4 linked regions of the Rhinolophus ferrumequinum genome follow. The protein of the gene in region 3 interacts with the protein of the main gene of each other region in a pairwise test. Links are inferred from orthologs where the notes say so. Each region holds a gene or a part of one and is shown on either strand. Other genes may lie near its edges.

Region 1 (7,056 bases), on a different chromosome or scaffold from region 3:
AAACCTTCTTGCTTCCGTAGTCTGTCTCCTGGAGTGAAGGAGAGCCCTCTTCAGTGTCCCCGTCAGGCTAGGCTCAGGATGGGATCCCAAAGGACCGTGCTAGAGGCAAGACAAGTCATGGATTTCCACAGATGCTGTTCTCCTTACAAACTGTAAAATTCTATGATTCTACCTTGGAGTCAACTTTTGTTTTACTTTTTTTGGATTCCATTGTAAGTTCTCTACTACTTCCTTACCATATATCAGAAAAAGTCAGCATTATTTCCTTTTACTTCTGGCCCTTAAATAAATCCTGGAGTGGAAAGAGAGTTCTGACAGGTGAAAGCACCTTCTCCCTCCCTTTTCTCTTCACTGCCCATTGGCCCCACATAGGATTGTTTGGGTGTGCTCTTGATCAAGGGGACCAAGACACCCCCTAAAATGATACAAGTATCAGAGATCTCGAAGAGGTCTCATTTCTTTGGCTCATGACTCTCAAGACTACTTTTAAATACCCCAAGCATGGGGATTCCATAAACTTTCTTCAGACATGATCTAGATCCATAAAAACTGAGAATCTGTTTTTTCCCTTTTCGCTCTACTAATGTTAGAACAATTCGTTTTCTTTGTAAATATCTTTCTTTCAGTAGATAATCCTTTTATACACGGTCCAACTGTCCATCCATCTATTAAATAAGTGTACCAGGCACTGGGCTAGCTTCCAGAACACAGAGATGTCAGACTTGGTCTTTATCTTTGAGGAACTCATGGGTAAAGACCAACAAGGAGAATCTATGGTGCTTGGTGACTTGAGAGGGATATTCAGGGTGTTTGGGTACAGGTAAGGAAAGGAGGTTACCCCATGAGCAAACTCAGACAATGAAACATTTACTTTCAAATAAGAACTTTGGTATTTCAGAGTGAGACAAGATTCTAGTTAATTGGCAACAAGTCAAATAAAGAAAACCTGCCCTATAAATATATATTAGATATAAATATATATTAGATATAATAGAACGCCAATCTCTGGATGCAAGTGTGTTGTATACTAAAATCCCCTCTTATGATAGCAATAACAGTGCAGTATTTTGCCATTAAATTTATCTTTTTTTTTTAAATAAGACTTTGTAGTATGTTTCAGTTTTAAGAAGGAACAATATGGAAAGGGGGTTAGATAAAAAGCAAAGTCTTACTGGTTTAAAAAAACAAGGGCACTGGAAGAGAGCAAATATTGCTATGTCTGTGGAGTCCATTTTGTTGCAAGTGACTGAATCTAAGTTATCCTTGATAAAAATCTTTACTTCTCTCTCAAAGAGTGTGGGTGAATAAAATATATCTGTGGTATATATTTTTGTTACCAACACTTCTTGGCTTTTGATTTGAGTTTTGTAGGAATACTAAAATAATAGGGTACTAATTGGCTCAGATTGAAATCTCAGATAATTGGACTGATCATGAGCCCGGAAATGGTAATAATGGCTAATGTTTTTAAACTGTAGGGGATGGTTATTTTGTTTACCATGAAACACAACAATTTATCTTGAGTGGACAGAAGATTAAAGCACTCAAGTCATGTACCTATGATTAGGACATACTTTATTAAATATATATAAAATATAAATACATATTCATCTTTATATATTAAATGCCAACAATGTGTATTTTGAAAAAGGAAAACTAAACTGTCACTGAGTGTATTTAATACTGTAAAATTCAGATATTCATAGTACAAGGACAGAATATTTGTGGAAGATTTCCTTGTACGTAATTAGGGAAATTTAAAATATTCACCATGAATCAATAGCCCCCCCCCTTTTTTTGAAAGACTTTACTGGGGAAGAGGAACAGGACTTTATTGGGGAACAATGTGTACTTCCAGGACTTTTTTCCAAGTCAAGTTGCTGTCCTTTCAATCTTAGTTGTGGAGGGTGCCGTTCAGCTTCAAGTTGTTGTCCTTTCAGTCTTAGTTGTGGAGGGCACAGCTCAGCTCCAGGTCCAGTTGCAGTTGTTAGTTGCAGGGGGTGCAGCCCACCATCCCTTGCGGGAATCGAACCGGCAACCTTGTGGTTGAGAGGACGCGCTCCAACCAACTGAGCCATCCGGGAGCTCAGCGGCAGCTCAGCTCAAGGTGCCGTGTTCAATCTTAGTTGCAGGGGGCGCTGCCCACCATCCCTTTTGAGCCGGCAACCTTGTGGTTGAGAGCCCACTGGCCCATGTGGGAATGGAACCGGCAGCCTTCGGAGTTAGGAGCACGGAGCTCCAACAGCCTGAGCCACTGGGCTGGCCCCCTCGATAAATAGCCTTTTTATAATAACTAAAAGAAAAGTAAATGTGACAAGTTTATATCATCTTAAGACTTTTTCAAGGCACAAATCTACAAATGAGAGGAAAATAAATTGGGATATCTGTAAAAGTACTTGCTTATATGCAGTTCTATTCATATGAACAATACAGGTGTCGATCATTTCCTCTGGGGGTTGGAGAGTTGAAGAGGGTACAGTGATAACAGTGGTGGCAGCAACATTTACGTAGAGAGCTGAACTTACTAACAGGAGCAACGTACTAATTGTTGCCTGGAAAATAGTTTAGATTAGAGCAGTGGTGAGTTCTCTGTATGTCTGTTTCTCTCCTTTCTTTCTCTCCTCCCCTATGTGCTGCCCCAGAGTGCTGTGTATTTTAGTTTCTGTAATTCAAATCAGTTCAGCATTAAAAAAACTTGCAATAATCCTGTGCCATTCCTTGATATAATTAAGTTGTAAATCATTAATGAAGTTTTATCAGTATACTGGTGTCTGATGACTAGAATTGCCCCAACTTGTTTGTGAGGATTTTGTATATGGGCACACAAATAATTGATACACTTCTTAGTTTTTGGAGCTCAAATGGCTGCCCTTTGTCTAGCAGTAGGTAGAATAATAAGGTTCATTTTTTACTGTGCATATAAAATGGAAAAACTCACTATAAATTATAACTGCAAATTATTATTTATCACCTACTGTATAGTGAGGCATAGAGTTTATTTAACCACTCATTTATATGCTCAGTTATTTGTTCAATAAATGTGTGCCAAATGCCTACTGTGTGCCAGGGAGGATATAAAGTATTAGGGATATAGCAGTGAACAAGATAGAGAAGGTCCTGAGCTTGACAGAGGAGACAGGCAATAGACAAACATACAAATTACAGATAACAGTGAGTGATGAGAAAGGCATACACGGGGATAAGAGAACTATGAGAGGGAAGGGGTGATGGGGTGTATTTTAGGTTTGAAATGATCAGTAGAAGTCTTTCTAAGGAGGTAACAATTGAGGTAAGACTTGAAAGAATAAAGGAGCCAGACTTTCAAAGTGCAAATGGTTTCATGTAGTCAGTGACATTTAGTATACTCAGAACTGAGGTGGTTCCGCTATATGAGGCCACTTGTGTGCAAGGATGATGTTCGGACCCGGAAGCCAATGAGGGAAGACAGCATCCTGGCCCTAGAGCACGGCCTTGGAACACCCTGTCATGTATTAAGCCCTTATTTTCTGGGTGATTGGGAGGCTTGGGGAGGCCTCAGGGAGAGGGTCTGGGGCAGCTGGGTTGTCACTCAGAGGGCTTGTTGGCCACAACCATTTACCCATTATGAGGGAAGTGTTTCAACAAGCAGCATGGCAAGTGTAACGGCTGAACATCAGCCATGCTTGTGTGTAATTCTATGATCCAAGGGATTTTGGCAATTAACCAATAGCAGTTCTAGCTCATGTAAACAATTCTGGCCACTTCGCATAGTTTGGTAGAGAAAAGGAAGAGTAAAATTCCTGTTTTCAATGCCCACAGTCATGATTTTATAGTGTGGGTCACATTTTGAGGAAGTAACATTATCAAACTGGATGTCTTCTTCACAAGAAGGTAACCAACCCAAGCTCATGTGTTTTTATAGGCGGCATCACTGTCCATATCTCCCGACGAAGATTTACGATAAAACAGAGAAACCATGTCTTCTCTCCGAATACACCGAGAACTACCCTCTCTATCACTCTTACCTGCCCAGAGAGTCCTTCAAGCCCAAGCTGGAGTACCAGAAAGGGTCCATCCCAATGGAAGTCCTGACCACATCAAGGTGAGGGCAATAGTATGAATATATGAACGTATAACACTCATGGAATAATGTACAGTAATAATGTACAGTGTTAACGTAATAATGTGCAATATCAACATATGCTATTAATGCCTTAATGTTAATTTGCTATATCGCTGAAAGAAAATCTTGCATTTATCAACCTGTTTGGTTTTTCACAATCTCTTTTCAATGAAAAGGATTTTTTGTGTGGTGGGTGGGGAGTGGGAGAGGGGCGGGGCTAAACTGATCTACATAAGAAGAGTTGGCGGTTAAGTAAGGAAGGGATGGAAAGGGGGCTGCTGTTGAAAAAGGAGGTTTGGGCTTTGGCACCTAAGCTCCAGATCAGCTGGAGTGGTGGTCGTGACGTTGGCAGTGGTGAAAGAGAACTTGATCATAGAGAAAGAGTGAGTTGTTTTGAAATTATGCTGTAGAGTTTGAATTGGGATCCCCTTCAAGAATGGGAACAAAGAACATTTCCTTATAAATTTCTCTTGCCTTATAAACTCTGATTCTTTAGATCCAGTTCTGGCTTAGTATATTTGGTTTGCAGAGGTATCTGTATTAAGGGGGTCAGGGGAAATGATCAATTTGAGGATTGTTCTACATGTTGCAAGACTCCAACAGAATCTGCCATTGACAACTCAGTGATCACCAGGTGGTGACCTGTGACTGGTGACCCAGTGCAGTAGAAACATCTTTGAGTGCAGTTGGGCAGTGTTTCAGATTATAGAGTTTAGTTCCCAGATGAGACCTGACACATCTTTGCCTCTGACATTCCTCATCCCTACAGGGCAGGATTGCTGTGAGGTGGAGATGAAATTGTTCCAGCATAGTACCTGCACACTACAGGTTCTCAAGACCTGGTCAGTTTTCTTGCTGTTGCTCCCTCTGTGCCTCATAATTTTGTGCTTTTCTACTAACGGTCCCAGGTGACCCAGGCTAAGCAGAACATCTCTAATATTCATTCTGCCCCCAAGTTACCCCCTGGTAACCTGGAAATATCCTGTGTTGAAATGGTGGGTTGGAGGCCTGAAGTGTTCCTGTAAAAAGCTGCTATCTCCTAGATCCAAAGGAAGAAGTCCATGTCTGGGCTATGGGGCAGAAAAGACACAAGAGGGGAGAAATGAAGTCAAGGGATTTCTGAGCTTGGTGGGAGCCATTGGATGGGGCAACTTGAAAATGGGAGAGAGTTGAGGGCCTTGTCTGATGCTTGACTTGAATCAGGTCACTTTTTTTTTTTTTTAAAGATTTTATTGGGGAAGGGGTATAGGACTTTATTGGGGAACAGTGTGTATTTCCAGGACTTTTTCCAAGTCAAGTTGTTGTCCTTTCAGTCTTAGTTGTGGAGGGCGCAGCTCAGCTCCAGGTCCAGTTGCCGTTGTTAATTGCAGGAGGCGCAGCCCACCATCCCTTGCAGGAGTTGAACAGCAACTTTGTGGTTGAGAGGACGTGCTCCAACCAACTGAGCCATCTGGGAGCTCAGTGGCAGCTCAGCTCAAGGTGCCGTGTTCAATCTTAGTTGCAGGGGGCGCTGCCCACCATCCCTTGCGGGAGTAGAGGAGTTGAACTGGCAACCTTGTGGTTGAGAGCCCACTGGCCCATGTGGGAATCGAACTGGCAGCCTTTGGAGTTAGGAGCACGGAGCTCCAATCACCTGAGCCATTGGGCTGGCCCTCAGGTCACTTTTATGCTAAGCAGTTCTCTTAAATGATTTGGTTTAAGCACAAGCTTTCTGGGTCCTGACTCATGAAAAAATTGTAATTTACGCAAACTTTTTTCCAACCTATGATTTATTGAACAACATGAACCTTAATGGTTGGGCTTCGTTTTACCAAGAAAAAAGCATTCTTAGTTTCTAAGAGCCCAAAGAACACAACAAGAGATGTAGACCCTTCCAGAGCATTGCTTTTCCTTTTAAGAAACCCTGGTCAACACTGATGAAAAGTCCTTGGCATATGCCTAAGAGACATGTAATTGGTACAAAAGGATAAGAGCTGTGTTGAGAAATGGCTTGCAACATCACATGCAGTCTCTAGATGTTGGTCTTCTCATCTCTTTATACCCAATTTGCAGGAAATGAAGAATGCCTTGTGAATATAAAGTAAGGTACAGTTTCAAATGTTATACTAGGGATCTATTTCCTGTCCTGGAAATACAGAAAAGCGTGTTTGAGGATTGGGTGTTGGGGAATGCTTTTTGTTTGTTGCTCCCATGCTTAGGAGAACGAGGATAAGCCCTCTCTCTGGGGCAGCAGCCCTGCTCCATCGCCTGGCTCTGAGCCCCCCAGAAGGAGCCCCACACGTGCCCTCCCACCTCTGCCTTCCAATGGTGCTTTGCAAATCACAAACTTCCCCTCTGACCTGTCCTAAATTATTCTTGCCTCATGTCACTTACAATAATAAACATATCACCCAGAAGGTCCCTCTGTCCCTGCCGGAGCCAGAGTAACAATATCATTCATGTCAAGATGTGGCCAAAGTGGAGGAATGCAGAAGCGGAAAGAATTTCCAAAACAAGTTGTTAATGACCATAGGGGTTTTAAAAAGAAAAAGTGGTGGGATCAAGGTTACCCATAGGAAGGAAAAAGAGCAGAGATACTTCTCTCCTCTCTTTTATTTCCTTCCCCACAAAGAGAACTAAGGGGGGAAATAATCAGAGATCATCTTTTCTCTCTTCTGTACCTCAGTTTCATCATTTTTCAGCTCTATGACTGCCATGCTGGGCACTAGTGTTTATAGACCAAGGACAACACTATGTCCCTATCAGGAGGAGTTTTTTTGGTTTTTTGTTTTTCTTTTTTCAGAGTTCCATTGAACTTTTATTGAAATAAATGAACAGAAATCAAGATTTTACCAACCATCTTTCCTGAACCTCATAAATTCCGCAGAGAGTCTGGTCCATATATGTGTACAAAATTATTCCCTATCAGGAAATGTAGAGAAGCTGTCCTCTGAGTATGCCAACCAGAGGCTTCT
Region 2 (8,011 bases), on a different chromosome or scaffold from region 3:
TTTGCATTGACAACATTCTCTTTAACAATAATGTCATTCTCATTCGCTTGGTCATGGTCAATGTCTCTCTTTTATGATTATAGTTGAAAAGGGATGTTACCATTAAATTCAAGAAATTCCTTATGAAGCCTTTTAAATTCTTACTTGAAGTCTTCGGGGTGGATGCCTTTTAATAATACTTGTTTCTCCCTGTTCCAGTGGGATGTCAAAATACATGGTCCTGGGCACTTGAAGGATTAGGGGAGAAACAAGACCAAACCATTAAAAACAAATTTACTGTTAAATTAGGCTAATCATAAGTTATTAGACTTTGTTGACACAATTTTGTATATATATATATATATATATACACACACACACATATATATGCATATCTATCTATATATATGTGTGTGTGTGTGTGTGTGTGTATATATATATATATATATATATATATACACCTGCGAGTTGAATATAGAGATGAGATGAAACATATAAAGCAGGGACCCTACATGAATGCAAATGATAAAATATTAGCCTAGACTCAGGATTTAATTTCTGCTTCCCTCATTTTCTCCCGAGAGTGATATTTAGAGGAAGATCTGCACAATTCATATATTGACGACCAATGTTATTCAAGCATAGAATTTGGCCTGAAAAAAGAAACTTACCGATTTATTTTAATGTCATGGAAATCTCCCCCAAATCATAGAGGAAATCAGAAAAAAAATACAGCTTTAAGAAATTAAAATAAATTCTCTTTTCAGATGAAATAGATAGATGGATAGTTATTAGAGAGAGGTGATAAAGAAATGGAGCATGAGTGTGTAATAGGACTGTGCAGGGCTGAGCATTGTATGTCCCTACTTGAAGAGTCCCCTAAACTAGGGAAAGACATTCCCACAAATTGCCACATGTCAGCACTCTTTCCTGATAAAACAACCCAGGGCTAAGCCTCGTTAGAAACAGAGAGGCTCAGGAGACCCATTAGGAATTTGATTTTTTGGCTTGGTTATCCTGGGCCCTGGGACCACTACCGTGGACTTCGACGGCATGAATGAAGACCCCGTTCTTTCCTCTCAACAAGATGGAAGGAAGCATTCTGACTTCCAGATTGTTGTGTAGACTATTCTACAGTCCCACTTTGCATTTTAAATGGAAAAATTCCTGGGTAATGATGTGTTTTTATCCTTAAGACATTGGAATGACTACCTTAAGAACTTCACTAGGTCCTTACTTTTCAAGAGATGCCTGCATGTTGAACAAAGCAGAAAGAACAGCTGCGACAACAAAACACGGATTGGATTTAAAAATCTAAATATTTTCAGCACAGTTTTCTTAAGCAGCCTGACTACTTCTTATTTGTATACTACGATTTGGGAGATATCAACCCATTATTTAATTTGATTCTCCCAAAATGGCATAGGTGGTGTCAGGCAGTTATTTTCACCCCTGATTTATAGTTGATAAAAAAACAACTGAGGAAGTAAATTGCCCAAAGTCATACTATTTGGCATTTGGTGGAGCTGGAGTTAGAATATGGGCCCCTTGAAGATAGTGGTCAGAATGCTCACCATCCTCTTGTTATTTATTTTTACTGTGATTTTGCCATTTATAAAATAAGAACATTTCCTAGTTGGAACTCAAATGCATAAGACTCAGCTTTTACCATTCAGTTACCAAAATCTTAGAATTCTGGATAAAGGGTTCAGATAAAAAAGAAATTCTTCGATGAAATTAAAAGGAAAATTCCCACTCATGCCCTTAGGAAGTTGAAGAACATAAGAACATAGGTCACAGAGAGCCAGTCAAAGGTTGTCAGTTATAGAAAATAGCAGTGAAGATCATTCTAGGTAAGATTTACTAGGTACCGAAAGAGACTATAAGGCTTTCTGGCCAAGCTGACCAATAATGAAAACTTATTTGTGTTATTGATCCAGAATGTGAAGAAAAGAGAAAATTACTTCCATATATACATTTGTATACATTGTAAATGTACTTTTCTCAAGTTAGAATGTCTGTTTAATTACTATTGTGGTTGACATAAAAGAATTTACATGTCTTATAAAATACCCCAGGATAATTTATAGCCACTTCAGGCTCAAAGTTTCCTATTATAATTGGGAAAAATTCTCTTAGTTCATCAGATGACCAAGAAAAATATGCAGTTGGGGAAAGGGTGAGTCATCCACTCATCTGTACTGCAATAAATCAATCCTGTTTGGGGTGGTTTCCAAATTCACATTAGAATGAACTCTTAAAATGCTGCTTTCAAAACAACAAAACTTGATGCATAAAATTATGCTGGAAAGAATGATTTAAATTTAGAATCTAACTGAAACATATGATTTTCATAATCGATCACACCTTTATCTAAATAATTTTAATTGTCTGGCAAAGCTAAGTATAAACATTGAAAGCATTATAAACTAAGCTGAAACAAAATGATTTTTCCTTCTCACATGGAATGGTGAAAAGCCGTTTATGCAGTTTACAGACCCATTCTAATGTACCCAGGATTCTTACAATTGATATTCTTTCTTTCATCAAAAAATGTTCCCTTATATTTCAATAAATTTAGAATTTTCTGAGATTATGGGGATGGACAGTCAGATAACTCTGTCAGTAGCTCTCCTTGACACAAATACACAAATCTCAGGCTGGGTTTTATGTTTACCTGCAGAATATCTTCCATACCAGGTCTCTCTTAGAGGTGGTAGCTGCCCTTCCAAAGCTTTATTCCGGTCCCGGTCCCGCAGTCTTGCAAATGAATAGGAACTCGTTTCTTCCAGGTTCTGGTGGAATGCGACGTCCACAGAGTGGGCTGAGGGAGTCTCTTCCTCTTTGATTTGCAAAGGTGCTACTTTGGTCACTCTAGGATGAGTTTTAGAGTGGCTCAGGCCCATTTTACGTTAAAAACATTTAAAAGAAAACCATGAGGGAAGTGGTTTTGGGCCTATAATGTAGCTTGTTTTAATCAAGGCATTACAGACGTTTACCCAGATTTACAAAGCAGTTGTTTCCTTCATGACATCTTTGTAGCTCTCTTTCACTACACTAACCCCTCTGGCCACTTCCTGGAAGGCTGGTTTCCATGGAGACTTCCCATCAACTCTCACTTTGCCATTTCAGACCCAAAGAATCCAGTTAAACATTGACTTATTTATGCAACTTTCTGAAAGGCTTAGGGGTAGGAAGAGAAAGCTCTATTGATCATTAAACAAATCTGTAACACGAAGAAGGCCATTAACAGAGATGGAGAGCAGAGCTTTAAAGAAGTCGTAAAGTTGTACCTCTTATTGCACGTATTTTTTAAACACCATCCATAAGAACTACCAGCTAAGAATAGCTAACTCACCTTTGGACATGAAGGGGTGCATGCTAGTAATCTAGAGCTTCGTTAATCTTTAATTCTAACGGAATGGTGGGATTATGGGTGATTTTTAGGGTTTTTTTTAATACTTAGAAACAGAACTCACTTTCCAGATCTACTTGTTTATGACCACAGATGACTAATGTTTTCATCATATTCCTGTAGAGAAGTTCAAAGAAATTTATTTTCCATTTTGCAAACTTTGTTTACTAAGAGGCTAACATGGGTTTGGAAAGTCTTGAGAGTCAATAGAGTTCATCTAAAAAGATGTTTGAGTTTAATTTTTTCCTACTTAATTCCCTTTGCGTTTTAACACTTTTTTTTTCCTGTGGCAGAGAGACTGCAAGAAAGAATCATATATTAGCAGTATCTATAAACAAAATTACCTCTGGTAACTAGAGACTATTTTAATTATAAAGATTAAAATCTTTATACTTTATACAAGTACTTGAACAATATCTAGTAAGATTTAGTTTTGGATACAATCAGTTTATATTTCTAAGGGCTGGGAAAGGTATTGCAAACTAACAAATGAACTAGAAATTATATGGGAAACTGTGGACTCCCTGGATCTGGATCCAGTGGGAAGAATTCAGCTCTCATTTTTTAAAAATCTACTTTATTGCTTTATTATCTAACTTTGAGAGACTATATGTGTGGAGAATATGAGCCTTTGTAGAAGAAGTTGATTAGTTGTTGAGGAAATTACTACAGAAATGAAGGTTCACACCATGTTTGTTTCTCTTTTTTTACTAGTCACAGCCAAACTTTGCAATTGGCATAGATTACCTAACCATTCCATGCCTCAATTTCCTCAACTGTAAAATGGGGTTAATAATAGTAATCCGTGAGGAATGAACAAATTAATTCTGTTTATAGCTCTTAGAGTAATACCTGAGGTGCAGTAAGCTTGAAGTAAACATTAGCCAGCATTCTCCTCCTGAGGAAGTATTGCTACATGTCCGCATGTAACAGGATAGTCCTTATCCATTAAAATAGACATTTTCCTGTGTAAAGTAAGACAGGAAAAGACCAATGAAGAAAGGGTAAATTATTAGGTTGGTGCGAAAGTAATTGCGGTTTTATGTTCTTTGTTTTTTTGTTTTTTTTTTTAAATTTTATTGGGGAATATTGTGGAACAGTGTGTTTCTCCACGGCCCGTCAGCTCCAAGCCGTTGTCCTTCAATCTAGTTGTGGAGGGCGCAGCTCACTGGCCAACGTGGGAATTGAACCAGCAACCCTGTTATTCAGAGCTTGCGCTCTAACCAATTGAGCCATCTGGCCGCCCCTAATTGTGGTTTAAAAGGTTAGAAATAATTGCAAAAACTCAATTACTTTTGCACCAACTTAATAGTTGGGCCTATTTAACAATGGTGCTTAAGGATTATCATTTAAAAAGTGTTTATGTACTGAAAGAATTTTTATCAGAATGGTGATGAAAAATAATTTCAATTTTATTAAAAGAGGAAAAGGAGAATTTAATGTCACCTATAGAGTTATATATAAGATGTAATTTCTTAACCATAATTAATTTCTAAGAGTTGGAAACCATGAACAAGCTCTTACCCACCCAAATCTTGCCCACTCTTCAGACTATCTGTAATACTTTATAATGATCCCGTCCCAGTTCCAGAATGGTTATGAATATGTGTGTACAAGATGATACAATAGGATGTTATTTGTAATAGTTTAGGAATATGAAATGAGAATATAAGTTTATAAATCTCTTACGATGAGGCAGACAAGGGACTAAAGTTTGTTAAAGCTGAAGGTAGTGCCCAAAGAAAACTTCATTAAGACACAGGGCACAGAGGACAGAGAAGGTGGTGAGGCCCCAGAGGAGAGAGGAGGAGGAGGAACTGAGAGCCAAGTGCGCCAGTCCACGTTAGGGACAGAAGCCCCCAATTTGGAGCCGCTCCACGGGCAACCTGACCATGGAGATCCCAAGAAATGTGCTTGCACAAACTCTGAGTGCTCAGCGCTTTTTTGCCTCATGTACAGAACACCTTCGTTCGAGACATGGAGTGAGCTAAGCACAACTGTCCCATCTCCTAACCCTCCTCTTCAGCCTTTACGTCCATAGGGAGGGAAGAGAAGGGGGCAAAGCTACAAAGCTGTTTTTCTCCGGCAGAAATCTCTGCTTTTGTTCTTGGTTCACTCTGTGGGGACAGAGTCCCAGAGAACAGTTCCCAGGCTCTCGGCTTCACGTGGAAAGGTGCTGGCTCTGGTAATAGATGGCCCTCAGCTGTGACTAGTTGGCTATTGACTGTTACCGGTTGGCCGTTAGCCACTAATATAACGGCCGTGACTACTCTGGGGGGTTGGTTGGTTGGTTGGCAGAGAAGCAAATGGCGGATTGCAGATTGTGTGGCTCCTGCTTCCTGGATCTCCAACCCAGCCACCAGAGAGAATATAGTGGTATGAACCCCCTATCCATGGCTCCGTTGGTGTTCCTTTTTGGCCTCACCATATCCTGCATTCTTGTGTGGGAAGCGGGACCAGAGACCCTGCATGACACATGGCGCAGTGAGTAGGGTATAGTGCCAGCCAGAATTTTCAAAGGGGTAATGGAGCAGTTTATACGTATGAAAGCTGTTTCGAGAGCAGGGTATGGTGCCCACCGGGGCTCTCTGAGGGGCGGTGGAGCAGTTTGTGCATGTGGACACTCGGTCTTGGGGGGCCCAGTGGGAGTGGCTGCTGGAGAGCTGGAACCCCATGGAGGGGTGGGAAGACGTGGATGGTTCTCCAACCAGCGTAGGCCGGAGAAAGTGAAGGGTTTTGCAGCCGTGGGGGCTGGGAAGGGCTTGCTGAGGCAGCCCAGATGCGGGAATTGTAGGCCCAGCAGGAAACACTTGATGAGTCCTCAGTGGAGGATGTGGGTGAGGTCAAGGTCGTCCCTCACTCCCGGGTTGGGGAAGACTTGGAGCCCTCGCCCTGTGGAGAGGGCACACATTGTGAGGACAACGCACAGCCCTGGCGAATGACTGTGGACTATGGGGAACTGCCTCCCATCCCTGATTTGATGGACCACTTGACTGTTTGCTTGGGAACGTACCACCGTGTAGTGGAACTGGCAGATGTTTGCTTCCTGTGTCTCACCCTGCGGCCAACGAGACTGTGGTGCAGGAAGACCCCTTGTTGAGGTACAGCCGGATGTTTACTTCTTGTGTCTTGATCAGCCGCCATCGAGAATATAGTGGTATGCCTCCCTTATCTATGGCTCCGTTGTTGTTCCTTTTTGGCCTGACCATATCCTGCATTCTTGTATGGGGAGCGGGAGCTGAATCCCTGCATGACACACTCCTAACTTGGGCAAAGGTATAGAGGAAGCTTGTTTAGTGGATTTAAATTCTATAGTAAATTCAATGAACATTCATAGGAGATATGTGGATTTTCCTGCACTCTAACAAGAAAGTCTACTTTTGAGTGACAAAGGGCTTGAAGTATAAATTTGGTACAGGGAGTGGTGAGGTACCTTCTACATTTCCTTACAGTCTTTTATGGCCTGGTTTACACTGCAATATCTCATCAGAGCCAACAAGACAAAAGCTTTTTTTTTTTTTTTTTTTGTGCAGAAACATTCCTTATCTTTGTTCATAAGATTGTGAGTTGAAAGCTCTTGCCTTTGATGGACTTCCCAGGGTCACCCACCCTCTCTTGGTAAGATAACCTCTTGGAGATAAGGAGGTTGGTGGTAGGGGCAGTGAAGAAAGGCAGGTTTTTCTGCAAGTATTTCACCAGGTACTACTTGAACCAAATAGGTAATGGTGACTGCAATCACTGTAGGTTCTAAGCAACTACAGACAAATGTAAAACCATAAAAATGCTCAGTGGCTGTGTACATTAATGAGTGGTACATTTTAAAATATGAACAACCTAATATTAGAGAACTAGGTTTCGTTTTTAATGGGATATGGATATATACATTTGGATGTTTTATATTAGGCAGGTGATAAATGCTAAGGTGATTTTCCTTAAGATAGGACAGTAGCGGTCTGGAGTCAGGTTGGTTAAATTGCCTGTTGATGTTTCAGCATATGATTTTCTTGGAAAGGCTCCAGACAGATTTTAAAACAACATGTATATAAAGATTGCTTAGGATTGGATTTAATTTCACACGTGGGTTAATTACTCTGCATCGAACATTCAGTAAGTGGGGTTTAAATCCTAATTTACAAGATTCCTAAATTATGTTTCTAATAAAATTACAGCCTTTTCTGCAATTGATATGTAATGGATAAGCAATACTGGAGACTTTTCAGAGATGTGAATTATGTGTTTGGATGCCAGCGAAGCGGAGTTGATGTATGACCCAGACCTTAATTTTCCTCCCAGTGATTATTTCCCTCTATATTTATCCATACGTTGGGTGTGAGGGTGACAGTACTACTAGACCTACTTGGTTTGGAATTGCCGAAGCAAAAAAAATGGAAAAAAATTGTGAATTGAAGCTTCTTATATAAACTATTAAATAAGATCAGTTGAATGAGATGTGTATCTTTACCTTTTAAATGCAATCTGCAAGTATATCATTGAATTAAATGTTAAAACCAAACCATCACATAATTGCTATTCTGAAGACAGCCAATGTATGAGTTTCTTAAAGTACTTAGACCAAAGAATTTTTGTATGTTTCATCTCTCATTGGGAGGACATCAA
Region 3 (7,187 bases):
CTATGCTGTAGGGTGGACGGTATCCCCCTTCTCAGTCTGCCCCCCACCACTCGGGCCTGGGTTTCCTCTGGCCCAACATCTGAGGGTTGCCTGGGCTGTCAGCCACTGGGCAGCAGGGGGCCACACAGGTGGAGTGAGTATGGCCATGCCTCTGTCCCAGAGTGCCCTGGGCCTTTTCCTTCCTTCCTGGCTTGGCCCAAAGCATCAGCCACCTTCCCAGGCCCAGGCTACCCTAGGGCCCGCCCCCTGGAAGGCAGTCACCACTCTGAGACAGGGGCACCCCAAATAGGGTATGGGCATGACTTCTGTTTCCTTCCCAGAATGCCCTAGTCTGTCCAGCTGGGCTCTAGTGAGGACAGAATGAAGGGCACTATCAAGGCCCACCTGTCTCTGCCCATTCTCCGCCTCCCCCTTTCCCTGGCAGGGCTGGGGGAACTGAGGGAGCCAGTCTTGTGTTCCTTCATGGCTGGTAGGAGAGTGCAGGGGAGACTGCTCAGGCTGCCAGATGGCTCTCAGCCCTTGCCCCCACCAACACACACACACACACCCCTACACCTGACCCAGACATACAGCTGGCACCTCAGTGAACCTCCTGGAGCTCCGAATGGCTGGATAAATGGCTGTGGCATGCATGTGGTGTGCAAGGGCTTGAGCTGTGAAATATAAGCCTGGGTGATCTTGGGCAAGTCACGTAAGCTCTCTGAGACTATTTTCCCATCTAACACTATCTCCTACCTCCTGAGGTGGTTGTTGTTGGGCTTAAATGTTAAGATACTTAGAAAGCACCCAGCAGTTAGTTAGTTAGCAGTCAGTAAAGGGAGCCTATTAGTGTTCTTCTTAGCCCCTCCCTCATTCTGGGTTCAGACAACAGGTACTCAGCCAGGCCTGGGTCGGGGAGCACCCAGAATTTGACCTGGACCTTCTCAGTGTAGGCCCAGGGAGAGAACAAAGAGGAACCCCTTGTTCTGCTGGGGGCACCAACGAGGCTCAGGCTATCAGGCTAGCCCGACTCCAGTCAGCATAACTGACACCCCTCACACAGGTACACAGGTGCACACACCTGCATGCTGCTGTGCCTCTCACAAAGTGCACACCCACCCACCATCTCAGCAGATCTCACAAAAGGCAGGCGGGATAGTGTGTCATCTCCATTTTACAGCTGAGCACAGAGGCCAGGGACAGGGTAGGGGTATGCTCAAGGTCATTCAGGTAGCAGAGAGCCCAGGGGCCCTTTCCTGTTTCTCTTTCCCTGGAAATGCTGCAGGGATGGTGGAGGGGGTGGTCAGCACTTTAGGAGCAGGAGGACATGAGATGCTGGATGACATCAGTAGCGCAGGAACCCAGCTCTTCGCCCCAGCTGCCAGCCCTGAGACTGGAAGACACCCAGAAGCCTTTCCAATTACCCATGCCAACTACTCAACCCTTTTGCCCCCCTGCAGCCCCCAATGTCCAGGAGAACCCTGGCCAGGTCCCACAGCTGTGAGTCAGGATCTGAACAGACCCCTTCTCCAGCTCCCTGGAGTTGACAGGAGACTAAAGGGGAGAAACTGAACTCCCCCCACACCCACCCCTGCTATCACAGGCACCAACCGCCCCCCCCCAAACTCTCCCCTCCCCCCCACGGGGCCTGGGAGTCACAGCAATTTAGGGCAGGGGGAGGGGGTGGGAAGCAGGATCCAGCAGCTGTTCTGGGGACGAGAGGAATAGTTCATTCACCCTGGGTCCCCCAGGGCTGAAGCAGCCCATCCAAGATGAGTTTAAAAATAAATTGGGGCTGTCTTGGTGTATGCCTGGGGCTCCTTCTTGAGCTCAGTCTTACTGTCTCAGCTCCTCTCGTCATGGGGACTCAGCCCAGAGTTTGTGTTTTCCCACATCCTTGCTTCCCAATCTTCTGGGCCTGAGTCTCTCAGGGTCTGTCTTGGAAGCTGTCAGGGCACCTCCATTAAATCTCAGTCTCTCGGTGACTAGCTCTGTTCCACTCACCCTGTGCCTGTCTCTGCACACTTCAGCAGCTGTCTGTATGTTGTGGGTCTCTGTCTCTATGACTGGCTATCTCCAAGCAGCCTCCCTCCGTGGATTTCTACCTCTGAACACCCACGTCTGCTCTCTTAGTGTGTCTATGGGGAGGAATGCCTTGGTCTCCACCCCACCCCACCCCAATTCTCTACCTCTTAGCCTCTCTCTATGCCTGAGTGTCTCTGTCTCCAGTCTCTGAATGTCTCTGTAGGCCTCACAGAAGCTGATTCACCACAAGGCTAAGGAAGCTCAGGCTTCTGGGACCCTCACTTGCCCAAGGTCCTGGAAAGGGCGCTATGGCGTGTTCACTAGGGTCATTGTATGCCTTTTCTTAAAATGCTCCACAAAACCTGCCTCCGTCCCTATGCCTCCGGTCAGTCTCTCAGAGTCTCTACGCCCAAGTGGAGTCCCTGTTTTAGATAACTGCAGCCTCCTGTGTAAGCCTGTCGTTCGTGTCCCGGTCTCAGTCTCGGTCTCTTGCTCCACCCGGCTTTCTGGGAGACTCAGTTTCTCAGAACCCTCCGGTCTTTCTCTCGACTCGGACTTTTCTATTTCAAACTTGGCCCCCTCCCTCGCCCAACTCTCACAGTAGCGCCCGCCCCGCCGGAGTACCGGTTGCAGTGCAGACCCGGGCTCAGCGATCTCCCGAGATCGGCGCCCTAGGCGCCCGCAGCCGGACCCAGGCGGGGGCAGGGGGCGGGTCGCCTCCGCTCCCTTCCCAGCCGGAGGGCGGGGGCCAGGAGCTGGGATCCGAGCCGCGCTCGGCAGAGAGCTCACCTCGAAGCCGGCGGCCGGAGCGGGGAGCGGCGTTCGTCGTGGGTGAGGGTGAGGGGGGCCGGGAAGCCGGGCCCGCGTCCCTCGGCGGCTCCTACCTGCTGGCCGGGCCGCGCGGAGGCCGAGCGAGCTGCCGGCGAAGCTGCCGGCTGCAACCGGACCGTGTGGGCGATTGAGAGCGCGGCCCCAACCCTCCCGAGGAAGTGTGCGCGGGGGCCCGCCCCGCCCGGACCCCGCCCCCGGCCGCCCCTGCCCGCGGGGTGCGGAACCCGCCCCCGGCCCCTAGTCCCCGAGGCGGGGGGCAGACCCCGCCCCCACCTCCCTTTTAGACTGGGGCCCCAGTCCCCCTCCTCCGGCCCAGCCTAACCTGGCTCTCTCAACCTTCCTGGGCGGCCAGGACCCCGCCCCTGTCCCTTCCTTGCCGCTTCTGCTGCCCTCGCTCCCTGCTCCCTCCACTCTCCTCCCCACCCCCACCCCCCCAGCCTCAAGCGGGAGTCTGCTGTATTCAGTCTCAGTTAAGGGGTACAGGACCCAGCTAGCTGATCAAGGTCCTTTTGGGGACCAAGAGTCTTCATGCCCTCTTTGTGTCCCCCTCCTCCCAATTTACCCCCAGGGGGTCACACTCAGCCCGGGTTTGTGAAAGGGGCCTTAATCTAGCCTGGAAGAGAGGGTGGTTTTGACTCTGCCATCACGGCCCTGTCGATGGGGACCTAGGTGTTCTCTGGAAAGAGGAGTGAAGAGAGGACCCCACCTCCGCCCTGCAGTAGCGCCTTGACCTTCAAAGGGCTTTATTCCACAACTCCGATTGGCAAAAACAGAAGTAGTCACCACCTCACCTCCAGGTGCATCCTGGGACCGCGAAGTCCTGTTTAGGTATCCACAGTGCCCAGGAATAGTTTTGACCTTTGAGGCCCCAGGGGGGATTCTACTCCTTGGCCCCATGATTTTTGGGCTTCTCGGAGAGCGGGGTGAGGAGTGTGCGCGGTTGAGGCACAGGGCAGGGAAGTAGAGGGAACCCCTCCTCCCCCACCTCTACAGTTTCCAACTCTCTGGCTTCCTCCCTGTGCCCGGGAGGGAGGACTGGCGCCTGCCAGGGACACAAGGCCCCTCTAGGTCCTTGAGGCCAGCCCCCCTGGGATCCTCAGGATTGTCACTAGGAATAAATAGCCTTGATCTGGAAGGGTGGGGGGAGGAAGGAGGAGGCTCTGCTGTGCTGTTTGCAAAACATGAAACAACAAACCAACCCTGGAAATAACCTTCGGCATCTAGAGTAGAGATTCAGAGCCTCTCCCATCCCCCAGGCTGGGTCCAGCCAAACTCTCAGAGCAGAGACTCTTTCCCTTCCAGGCTGGGATTCCTTAGTATCCTCTTCTCCCATCTCTGAATCACATGCCTGCCTTCCTGGGTCCCAAGTCACCCTCCAGACCAGATTTCCTCTCAAAATTAACTAATTGCTTGTTTATTATTGTTGTTCCTGTGTCAAGAGGGCAGGAAATGGGTCCTTTCTGTTCGCCACCACTTTTCCAATACCTACTCTAATGTTCGGATAATAAATATCTGATGAATGAATGAATGAATGAATGACACTGCTTCAGTTTGGATACCCCCTTTCCTCCCAGTTTGGACCATAGGCATCTGTTATCTGGAATCCAGGGAGTGAGCAGTCAGACCATGGGTGGGCCCTTTCTCTGGGATTTGTCTTGCAGGTGTAGGAGACTCCCAGCCCCAGGAGGTTCAGGGAAGACTGCCTGCCATTTTCCCCGAAAATAAGATCGGGTCTTACATTAATTTTTGCTCCAAAAGACGCATTAGGGCTTATGTTCAGGGGATGTCATCCTGACAAATCATGCTAAGGTTTATTTTCCTATTAGGTCTTCTTTTCGGGGAAACACGGTAGCTGAAGTTAGAGGCCAAAAGGGTTCTGCTGTGATGGGGAGGGCACAGGTGAGCAGCTTTCAGAAAGGGAGGAGTTATGAGTGAGTGAGGAAGGTGGATCAAAGGTATAGTTGGGGGTCTCTAATTTTTTACTCACAGCTTGAATTTCTGCTGAAAAGCCTTAACAAGAGTCCATCTTTCCTGAATTCTTAACTTTGTACTAGTACCTAAGCACTTTACATATATTAGTGCACTTAATTTTCCAGCAACTTTATGAAATATGTATTTTTATCCCTGTTTTAAAGATGGGGAAATAGGGGACAGAGAGAGTAAGTAACCCGCCAAGGGTGACACAGCTAATAATGCCAAAGCCTGGATTCAAATCCAATCAAATATCAAAGCTCCTTAGGCTAAAAAAAAAAAAGAAGCTTAACTGTTAGGTTCTAAGCCTCTGTAATCATTTAACCTCTTTAAGCCTCAGGCTCCTCATCTGTTGAGTGGTTGACTCTTGTCTCATAGCATTCATGTGAGGATTGGATGAGAGCACACAGTAGGTATTTAATATATGGGACCTCTTCCCCACCCCGGACACCCACACACATTCCCTTTCACAGTCAAGTGTTAAGGTTCTGCTGATGATGAACTTGGAGTCTGGAGGCCAGTTAAGCGACTTCTGATTTGGCCCAGCCTGGGGGAGGGACTGTTGTAGGCCAGGGGCTGTTTATCATTGTTGTTTCTCATGCCTACACTGTAAGTGCCCCTCTGGTTCTCCTCCACATTTCTAGCTCTCCAGTGGGCTCATATTTCCCTGCCCGCTCTATTTCTGTTGACCCAGGAGGACATGCCCCAGGGAGGTCTAGGGATCAGCCACATGGACTCCCTGTTCCTGTTCTCTATCAGTCCCCCTCCCTCCCTATCTCTGAGGAACAGGTGTGTCTGAGCTGGGGCTGGAAGCAGAGCCTTAGTCCTGGACGACCAGCCTTGGGTGAGTGGGATCTGGTTGTCCCTTTACCCACCCAGGTGGTCCCCACACACCCTTATCTTGTGGTGGAAGGGGGCTTGCTCAGGATCTCCCAGCTGTTCTCTCATCTTGGAAGGGCTTTCAGAAGGTGGCCTCGGGTGATGACTGACAGGCCTCTCGTGGTTTCCTCTTGAGTACTGAATCACTCTCTGATGCTTGTAACCACAAGCCTCCTTCCCCCAGTGAGAAAATTTCCTTCCTTCTTTGGGTATATTGCTCACCCTTACCCTTTGGACTGCCTAGAGCCCCTGCAGGCGGATTCCAGGTTTCTTTATCCCTTCCAGTGTGCAGAGCTGTCTTCTCCTGGGTGTACCTATTACTCAACGCCTTCTTTAAGGGAAGCAGCAGGAGTGACTGGGGCTGCCACCAGGTTACTCTGACTAATGGCTAGGCTTCTGAATCAAGAGGAGGCTGGAAAAGTGGGCATAGGCCAGATCATAAAGGGCCTTGTCTTTCAATGGTTAAGTAACAAATGAGATGGAATTTTGTTAATGCATGTGGCCCTAGTTGGGCAAGCCTCAGACTCAGAAAAAAACTTTTCACACTTCAGATCTCAGCTACTTTTAGGTTTTATCATGCCCACTGGTCTATTGGACTTCCACTTCTGGGGAATGAAGAGAGGATTTCCCCAGAGCTCCTCAGCAGGAAGAGTGAGCCCTGTCGTGAGAAATGGATGTAATTACAGCTGAAATCTAGCTTTACATGGTGGAAACTAAACCCAATGCTTCTGGAGTGCTCTGCAGTGCCCAACCCTCTCTCAATCCTCACATTTAGGTTTAGTAATAACAGTAATAGCTCAAAATTGAGAACTTGCTAAGGGGTGAACACAGCATTTTAAACATGTTACAGCGGTACCTCGGTTTTCGAATGTGATCTGTTCCGGAAGACCATTCGAGTTCTGAAACGTTTGAAAACAGCCGACAGCTAGGCCTCAGGATCTTGCACTCAGTGGACGCCGCGTGACATGTTCTACTTCCGAGGTGTGTTAAAAAACTGAAGCATTTACTTCCGGTTTACGGCGTTCGTAAACGGAAATGTTCCTCAACGGGGAAATGTTCGTCAATGGAGACGTTCGAAAACCGAGGTATTACTGTATTTCATTTAATCCTCACAATAATTCTGTATTACTACCTCAGTTTCACAGAGGAGGAGACCAAGGTCGAGTGAAGCTAACTTTTTCTTGGCTGGTAGCAGTTAGGATCAGAACACACCTCCATGGTTTATGGTCCTAATCATTTACATGGCACTGCCTCTGACACTCATGCTGTCAGCCAGCCATTCACTTGAGGGTGTAAGGCTCAGAACTTTATAACTACTGCCATGATATCACTCCTCCATTCAGCTGTGAGTGCCTTGATGGCTCTTTGAGGCAAGCAGCGCATGCTATTATCTTTGTTTTATGGCTGAGAAAAACGATGCTTATTAAAATCAAGCGACCTGTCAAAAGCCACGCAGCCAATGAATGGCAGAGCCAGACATGGTTTTAAGGTCCGCACTCTCT
Region 4 (7,803 bases), on a different chromosome or scaffold from region 3:
TCGGCGGGACACTGCTGCACAAAAGGGAAACAGCCCCAACTCGAGACTTGCCTGCCACCAGGGCTTTCCTTCCCACGGAGCAACTTCCCACGGGCTAGAGCAACACTGCGTCCAAACAGCTCAGTGCCAGACACCTTGTGCAGGGATAACTTTTGCTGTCAGTATTCTGGGGACAGCAGGGTCAGAGGCCTGAAGTCCCTTACTCACAGCGCCAAGGACGGAGCTGGCAGGGCTGGAATGGGAGCTCAGGTCCTGAGTCCCTCCAAGGGGCTCCTGGGGCACCAACAACCCACTGGTGGGGAAAGTGGATCTGGGCCTGAAGTTTGTACAGGCCTAGTGTTTCCAGGTTAGTGTTCACTGTGGGGGAGATGCTAAACCCAAGTGAGAAGCTGCTCTGTTACTTCTCCCCAATAATTAGTTTTATTTGAAGGGATCCATTGCTCTCAAGAAGGGTGGAAACGCTTGTGGGAGGGAAGCAAAGGGTCTTTTTGTGCAGTGAATAATAACTCCATCTTGGCTGTGGTGCAAACTGGGGTTTTCCCTGGAGGGTTTGCCCCATACCCTTCACCCTCCAGCTAGCTCTGGCTCCCCAGGGGACAGAGTCAAGAGATGAGCCCCCTGGAGGGGGGGGCAGGGACAGATACACTGAGAGATGGAGGATGGGGGAGAAATGGCAGGGACCCCAGAAGAGTGAGGGCTAGGGGAGGCCCTGACGTAGCCCCCACTGGAGCCAGGCAAAGGTCTGGGTGAGACCAGCCCCAGAAGACCAGGAGCAGCCTGTCAGACAGGGTGGCCAGGTGCCAGCGCTGGGACAAGGGCCACCTCTGACCAACGCCTGACCCAGGAGGCCTCTAACGAGACGTGGAGGTGCTGGGCGGCCCAACCTACCGGGCATCGTGACAGTGAGGGTGGTGTCTTCAAGAAACCTCTCCGTCCAGTACACCGATGGCCTGGAAAGCACCCGGGCGTGGCTCAGGGCAAGGGGAGCAGGACACAGGCTCCCTGCACCCTGCTCTGAAACAGAACTCAGGGCACCCCATACACAGGTGCACAGACAGGGTAGCTGGGGCACAATGGGGTGGAGAGACCAGTGGGAAGGGAGGGGACAGTGGAGACGCAGGAGAAGGGCAGACTCAGAAAAGTCTTACAGTCACAGGGGAAATGTAGATTATTTTGAGCAAGGCTGGTGTTCAGAGAAGGGGGGAGCCAGAAAAAGAAGGCAAAAGTAAGAAAAGGGCCCCAGGGCCTGGCTGTTTCCCCCCAACTTGGGCAGGACTCAGAGAGAGGAGACGCCCCTTGGACTCACCAGTAGACACAGAACTGCAAGGTCCTCGTGCATGGGGCGATCCAGGCATAGCCCGTGCAGCAGCACCCCGTCCTGCGAGGACACAGGCCCAGCCCCCACCTTGCTCTGCAGCTCCCACTTGCTCAAACGCCTCGCTGTCCGTAGCCAGCATCTAGAGGCTACCATGGACCACTGTGGCCCCCCCAAGTTCTCTCCGTTCACACCCTGACTTCTCACCCCAAGTTTATTGTATGGGTGACAAATGGGCCCCCCTGGGGCTGCTCTCCACCTCATGGACCCCCACCCCTGCCTCCAGCGAGACCACCAGCCCGCCACCTCACCTGTCTTTCAAGACATGCCAGTTGGTCTTGGGTTTTGCCAGTTCGAAGAGCCGCCTGCCCTTCTTCCTCCTTCTGGCCATGGAGGTGCTGGGGAACCTCTGGGTGATGGAGAGCCGGCTGTGGGGAGTTGAGTTGGGTTGTGAGGCTGCAGCTGCCGGCTTTCCAGCCCCGAATCTCCTCGCCCTCTGAAGTGGGGAGGCGCGAATTCTGGTGGCAGAAGCCATGGACTGCAGTCCTAGCTCCAGTGGCACCAGACTTGTGACCCTGGCCAGGTGGCCCACTCCCTCCACTGTGCAATGAAGAGAGATTTGCCCAGCCCTCCCAGGATGGCCGTTTTCTCAGCTCGTGTGTGTCTTGGCCATGAGGAGGAGTGGGCCACAGAGAGGCCTCAGGGAGCCCTCACATAATAGGCTTGAAGGTCCTCCCCGGCCCCTGTTACTGCACCCATGACATCAGAGGTCAGTTCGGCAGACATCCATCTGCGGTATGGGAGGTGACACCAAAGAGGGCACCGGCTAACCCACGGGGCTGCTTCTTGTCTGGCTGGCCACAGTCAAGAGCCCAGAACATGGCCCGGCAGAAGGACAAGGGATAACAATGCACACAGTAAGTCACAGCGGAGGCGGCACTTGGCTCTTTCCAGGGCAGCACCCCTGGCTAAAAACCACTCCCCATAAATGCTCAATTCACCAGTTCCCAGTTTGCTCAGGATGTGTCCCCCAGGCTTCCTAACTGGCTGTGGCAATGTGCGGGCTTGGACTGGTTGCGGCTTCTGAGTTGGAGGATGTCCCCTTTTCTTTTTCTCTCTGTCATACTGGGGGCCACCTCTCCTGACCTCTCAGCTCTGCCATCTGAACGCTGTCTGACTCCAAAATGGGCACTGTTGTAGGGTTTCCCACCGTTACCCACCTGCTGCCTAGACAGGTTGTGTTTGCCGACTTTGCCTCAGAGGCCAGTGAGGGTGCTGCCCACATGGCCCCAGGGGGACCCAGCCTGCAGCACTGCCCGGGGCCATGGGCTGGGTGTGGGCACGCTGCTCCCCCCCCACACCCGAGCCCACCCCCATGCCACCTCATCTCGGGCACTGCTTCCTCCTCATCTTCGTCCAGAACACTCTCCAACTGCAGGATGGCCTCTCCTGGGGCCCGGTCATCCAGGAATTCTTCCCCGGCCAACTCCTCGGGGGGAATTTCCTCTTCTTGGTCTTGGAAGCCCAGCCCCCCACCATCTAAGTCCTGGTATTTGGGGTCCTTGGACCCTGGACTCTCACGCACAGCACTCTGGAGGGCCAGGCCATCATCATCCGGCCCCCTTCCTGACCTGCCCTCAGCCTCCGTGTGGTGGTTGTGAGTCAAACTCTGCCGGTGGTCCCCCATGGACAGGGCCCTCCCCAGCCCAGCAGTCTTGCTCCCAAAACACCCAGTGTGTCACCGGGCAACAGGACAATGGCCTGGCCACATTCTCGGTGTCCACATTCCACTCTGCATGTGCCCATTGCCAGGCACTGCTCACGCTCTGCCAGCCTTGACCCCTCACTCGCCCTCCCCTGTCACTGCCTTCCTGCTCCAGAAGTGAGCCGGGCATGTCCCCTGCTCAGTGCTTTTGCACTTGCTGGTCCCTCTGCCCACACACGTCCCAGGCAGGCTCCTCCTCAGGAAAGCAGCCCCATTTCCAAGTCTCTCTGCGTCCCAGCATCTGGTTTGATTTCTCCATTTGGCCTCATCTACAACAATATTGACTTGTTTTCTTCTCGGCCTTGTAGAAAGTCACCTCCCCAGACCAGGAGCTGAGTGTCCCATTCTGCATGTCCTAGTGCCTGGAAGATGCCCGGACCACAGAGGGCTCTGGGGAGGAGCAGCTGAGTGAGTGGTTAGATTGGGGGCAAGCTCCATGCTGGAGCAGACATGACTGCATCCCATATGTCTTCCTGGTAAGAGACGCTTTGTCTCAGATCAGAGGAAGTTCTGGCAGTTATAGTTCACCAGTGGTTCCGCCCCTCCCAGGGCTGCTCTGGGAATGAGACCTGAGGAGCGTCTGCAGGGGTCTCCTAGGAATGGCTTCTCTCACTTGACAGGAGACATGAGGAAAAGACCCAGCTCCACTTCTTGGTTATTTATGGGGCTGTCTGTGATGTCTGGAGCTAAGGCAGCCATTCTGTGACCATGAGACCTGCTTGTCCGAGGACGGTGAGCTGAAGGGTAGGTCTTTGGTGGCATCACTGAGCCTATGAACTTGGCAGCCCTGGAGACTTCTCTGTGTGTGAGCTTCCTAGACAAGGAGGGAAGAGGACACCCTTCAAGTTCCAGCCCCAACAGACTACATGCAGCGAGAGCTGACACACTGAGCCTACCCCAGCGTGCAGTCACACCTTCATGATTTTAAGCCACCAATTTGGGGCTGTCTGTTATGCAGCAATCCTGCCCTACACAAGTTTGTCAAAGCAGCCAGTAGCCCTGCGGTGTCCCTGACAAGTTTCTGCCTCAGGAGGGAGTCTCCATGCCACCTGCCGCTGGCCTACTGAAGCCCCACGCCCCCATCAGCCTGTGTCCCCCCCATCACCCTGCAGCGAGTATGCCCCTCAATTTTCAAGTGGCTGAGTCTTCCCAGTTTGACTTTGAATATCACCTCCCCCTAATACCCTTCCCAACCTAAAGCAGGGCTTTCCTCCCTGAGTCGATGAGACTTTAAGGTGGTTGTTCCACAGCATTTACCATGATCTTATTCCACATTGCGTTTTTAACTGACTTTTTGCCCCATTGGAATATGAGGCTTCCGTGGCTCGGGGACCGTCCTAGTCTTGCTTCTGCCAGGATTCCTAGCACCCAGAGCAGACTGCACCGGCTGCGGTTTTCAGTGACCACAGCGCCGGAGATAAGCAGCAGTACCGCAGTGCGGCCGCAAGAGGGCGCCCCTCTCAAGGGCATGTGGGTCGCTCCGCTGGGCTTCGCGACACCGCCTCCTGGAAGCCTCCCCACAGTCCGTCCTGCGAGATGGGCTTCAGTATTGTCACCACCATTTCGAACACAGAGGCCAAGTCATTGCCCAAGATTGCATTCAGCGCTAGGCTGCCTCCGGGAGGGCTCAGCATTTGCGACTCTTAAGTATTTGTAAAATTCAGCAATGATGGAAAAGGACCTTGACTGAAGGGCATTTTCTGTGGCAAAAGCTGAGGGATCCGGTGCCCTTCCTGCCTCTGGGAAGGGGTGCCCCAGCGGAGGCAGGAGCAAGGACTCAGTGCCAACCCCCTCCACTGCTGCCTTTCCAGCACAATCCGGTTCCCATGGAGACGCAAGGAGTGAGAGAGACAGTGATGCGCAAAGCTCCTCTGCCCCGCGCTCGGCCTAACACTAAATAGTTTTCCCAAAACGCGGGGGATACGTGAGCTGGGCGGGAGTCGGCATGGCAGTCCTGGGAAAGGCAGCTGTGGGCGCCGTCACTTCCCCTACTCCGGTGGTGAAGATGCCAAGAGCCCGGTGAGGCCTGCGGATGGTGCCTCGCTCTCAGAAGAGCCCTGGAGGCAGCGCGGGGCCTCCATCTGCTACATGTCCCTTAATGTACAGCGGGTGTCTCTGGCTCAGTGCTGTGGATGCTTGGGTCATCTCTGTGGGCCGTCCTGGGCTGTCCTGCGGGGTCCAGCAGCATCCCTTGCCCCACCCACTCGATGCCAGGAGCAACCCAGTCGTGACAACCACAGGTGTCCCCATCGCTGAGTGTCCCCGAGTGAGAATTATTCATACCCAGGTGAGGCCTGGTGTGGTATGTCCCATCACTAACAGTGGGATGAAACGTACACCATCTGCTCTTGCTAAAGCAGCAAAGCATCGCTCAGTCGTGTTTAAGAAACTTCCACCCTGCAAGGGCACTGCTTGGGCTTGATTTCTCGGACCCAACGAGGACAGTCCATCTTTCTCCAGAGGCAAGTGGTTTCACAGTGGCAGCAAACACCCAGGGGGTCGTGGCTTCTTAAAACAGAAGCTCCTTTCTTCCTTGCAGAAGTCTGGGTACCTGCAGCCCATGCCCAGTGCCACACAGAAGGAGGAGGACGACTAGGTCCCGTCCTTTTGGCATTTTCTTTTTCCTTTTCAGTGTCAGATACCATGTACCCTACGTGCAGGGCTTTCCACAACAGACCAGAGCCATGCAACAGCCCCAAAACCCCCAGACCCTTTCGTCTCCCCTCCCCCAGGACAATCACCGTCCTGACTTCTAACAACACTGATAGGTTTTGGCTGGTTTTCACTTTATAAAATAGAATTTTTTGGTATTTGTTATTTTCTGTCTGGCTTCTTAAGCTCAAAACTGTGTCTGTGTAGTTTGTCCATGTTCCTTCTCATGGCTGGGGAGCCAGCCACTGAGTGGACGCACCATGATTTTTCTGTCCATTCCACTGCTGACAGGAACTTGGATAGTTTCCAGGTTTAGTACTCGTTACTTTTGAAGGCTCACCCACTCTTGCTCACATCACTTGGCTGACACGTGGTCACAGGGCCATGCTTGGTCACAAAGAAGGCTGGAGAGATGCACACCCAGATTCCCAAGGCCTCTAAGGGGAGGCTAGAAGTCTTCTCTGTAGATGTCTTTGGCAGTAAAGCAACTAAAAATCCTGCCTCAGATGGGCGTAAGCAATGAGGCAATGTGTTATCTCCTCTGAAAAGAGGCTCCTGGGCTCCTCTCCACTGTGCGGCTCCATGGTTCTCTTGGCTATGCCATGAATTTTCTATGATATTCATTCTCAGATGGGCACCAAAATGGCTGCAGCTGCTCCAGACATCTCATCATAAAGCTGCAATGGCCACAGGCAGAAAGGGACCATTATCCTGGGCCTCCCTTTTAGGAGCAAGGAAACCTGTGATAAGCAGAATAACAACCCCCAAAAATGTCCACGCCCGGATCCCCAGAACCTGTACATGTGTCCTTTTGTATGTCAAGGGGAAACCGAGGTTCCAGGAAGAACTAAAGTTGCTAATTGGCTGACCATGAGAGATGGTAGATGATCCTAGATTATCTGATGTCTCAATGTAATACAAGGGCCCTTATAAGAGGAAGCCGGAGGCAGAAGAGAGAGAACCAGAGATGGCAGCGTGACAAGTGAGTCTACAAGTTGAAGACATCATGAGCCACGGAATGGAATGCAGTAGCTTCTAGAAGCCGCCCCACCGCCCTCACATTTTATTGGCCAGAAAGGAGTCACATGTCCACACATAAGCCTACCCCAGCAAAGGGGTGGGACACCAGTGAGGGTTTAAGCAGCACCCAGGTAGGATGGGTTTCCCAGAGTCACATGGGATGGGGACTGGATGCCAGCTTCTATCCTCAAGGAAGGAGCTTGGCGGGCAGACTACAACCCTGGAAGCATGAGGGACGGAGCAAGGGGGGGTGTCCACATGTGTATGGGGCAGTCACAGAAGGCCTGCAGGGTGAAGGGCAGCTTGGAGATGCCCAACATGGACTGGCTGTCCACCACCAGATGCCACTGCCTTGCCCAACAGTAACTCAGCTAATGTCTAAACCTCGTGCCCCCAGGAATTTACACTGTACTTGGACTGGGTTGAATTACGTCTCCCCAAAAAGACACGTTCAAGTCCTGACTCCACAACCCCAATTGATCTAAGAGGACCAAGGGGAATTTCACTGGCAGTGGTCCCCAAGGCTCTATCAACCCTGAGCATCCCTAAGCTTGGTGGGGGCCCCCTCCCCCAGGCTGGCTCCTCTGAGCTGTTGTCTGCTGACCTGGCTGCCAGCATCTGTTGTCATGGCAACCTGCTCGGTTACCAAGGCCCCCTAGTGAGACATCATTGGGTCAGATATGAGATGGTTTCCATGTGAAATTTCTCAACCTTGATACTGTACTGGGTTATAAAAGAAAATTTGTTTTTTAGAAAATATATGGTGATGTGTTTGTGAGTGAAGGGTCATTGCACCTCCAATGTCATCTTAAATAGTTCAGGAAATGCATATCAGTATACATATATGCACACAGGTAACAGGTAGATGCAGACCATACAGCAAATAGGGCAAAATGCATCCCACTGGGGAATCTGGGCAGAGTCTACAGGAGTTTCTGGTACGTATCTTTAAATTTTCTGTACGTTTGAAATTATATCAAAATGTAAACTTGTGAAGTGCATGACTTGACTCTCCAGCTGTAAACAGGCCCAGAATCCAATTTAAGAGCTG

Evidence for each region.
Region 1: the proteins of FHL3 (region 3) and SAXO1 interact in binary tests that used the Homo sapiens proteins (3 or more experiments, as listed by UniProt). The two-hybrid records come from large-scale screens. The link is inferred for Rhinolophus ferrumequinum from reciprocal best matches to the Homo sapiens genes FHL3 and SAXO1.
Region 2: the proteins of FHL3 (region 3) and CCDC198 interact in binary tests that used the Homo sapiens proteins (3 or more experiments, as listed by UniProt). The two-hybrid records come from large-scale screens. The link is inferred for Rhinolophus ferrumequinum from reciprocal best matches to the Homo sapiens genes FHL3 and CCDC198.
Region 4: the proteins of FHL3 (region 3) and THEG interact in binary tests that used the Homo sapiens proteins (3 or more experiments, as listed by UniProt). The two-hybrid records come from large-scale screens. The link is inferred for Rhinolophus ferrumequinum from reciprocal best matches to the Homo sapiens genes FHL3 and SPMAP2.

The regions. Positions count from the first base shown.
Region 1 is NC_046295.1:20,399,582-20,406,637, forward strand, and holds the start of SAXO1 (stabilizer of axonemal microtubules 1), read left to right. Parts: upstream 1-4,043; 5' UTR 4,044-4,058; coding exon 4,059-4,081; intron 4,082-7,056. UniProt on the Homo sapiens protein: May play a role in the regulation of cilium length. Stabilizes microtubules at low temperature.
Region 2 is NC_046289.1:36,461,684-36,469,694, reverse strand, and holds the start of CCDC198 (uncharacterized protein CCDC198), read right to left. Parts: upstream 3,013-8,011; 5' UTR 2,886-3,012; coding exon 2,657-2,885; intron 228-2,656; coding exon 145-227; intron 1-144. UniProt on the Homo sapiens protein: May be involved in tuning the metabolism, energy expenditure, and excretion processes.
Region 3 is NC_046292.1:26,548,411-26,555,597, forward strand, and holds the start of FHL3 (four and a half LIM domains protein 3), read right to left. Parts: upstream 3,007-7,187; 5' UTR 2,794-3,006; intron 1-2,793. UniProt on the Homo sapiens protein: Recruited by SOX15 to FOXK1 promoters where it acts as a transcriptional coactivator of FOXK1.
Region 4 is NC_046301.1:62,346,259-62,354,061, reverse strand, and holds the start of THEG (testicular haploid expressed gene protein), read right to left. Parts: upstream 3,003-7,803; coding exon 2,698-3,002; intron 1,744-2,697; coding exon 1,627-1,743; intron 1,379-1,626; coding exon 1,307-1,378; intron 951-1,306; coding exon 889-950; intron 15-888; coding exon 1-14. UniProt on the Homo sapiens protein: May be involved (but not essential) in spermatogenesis.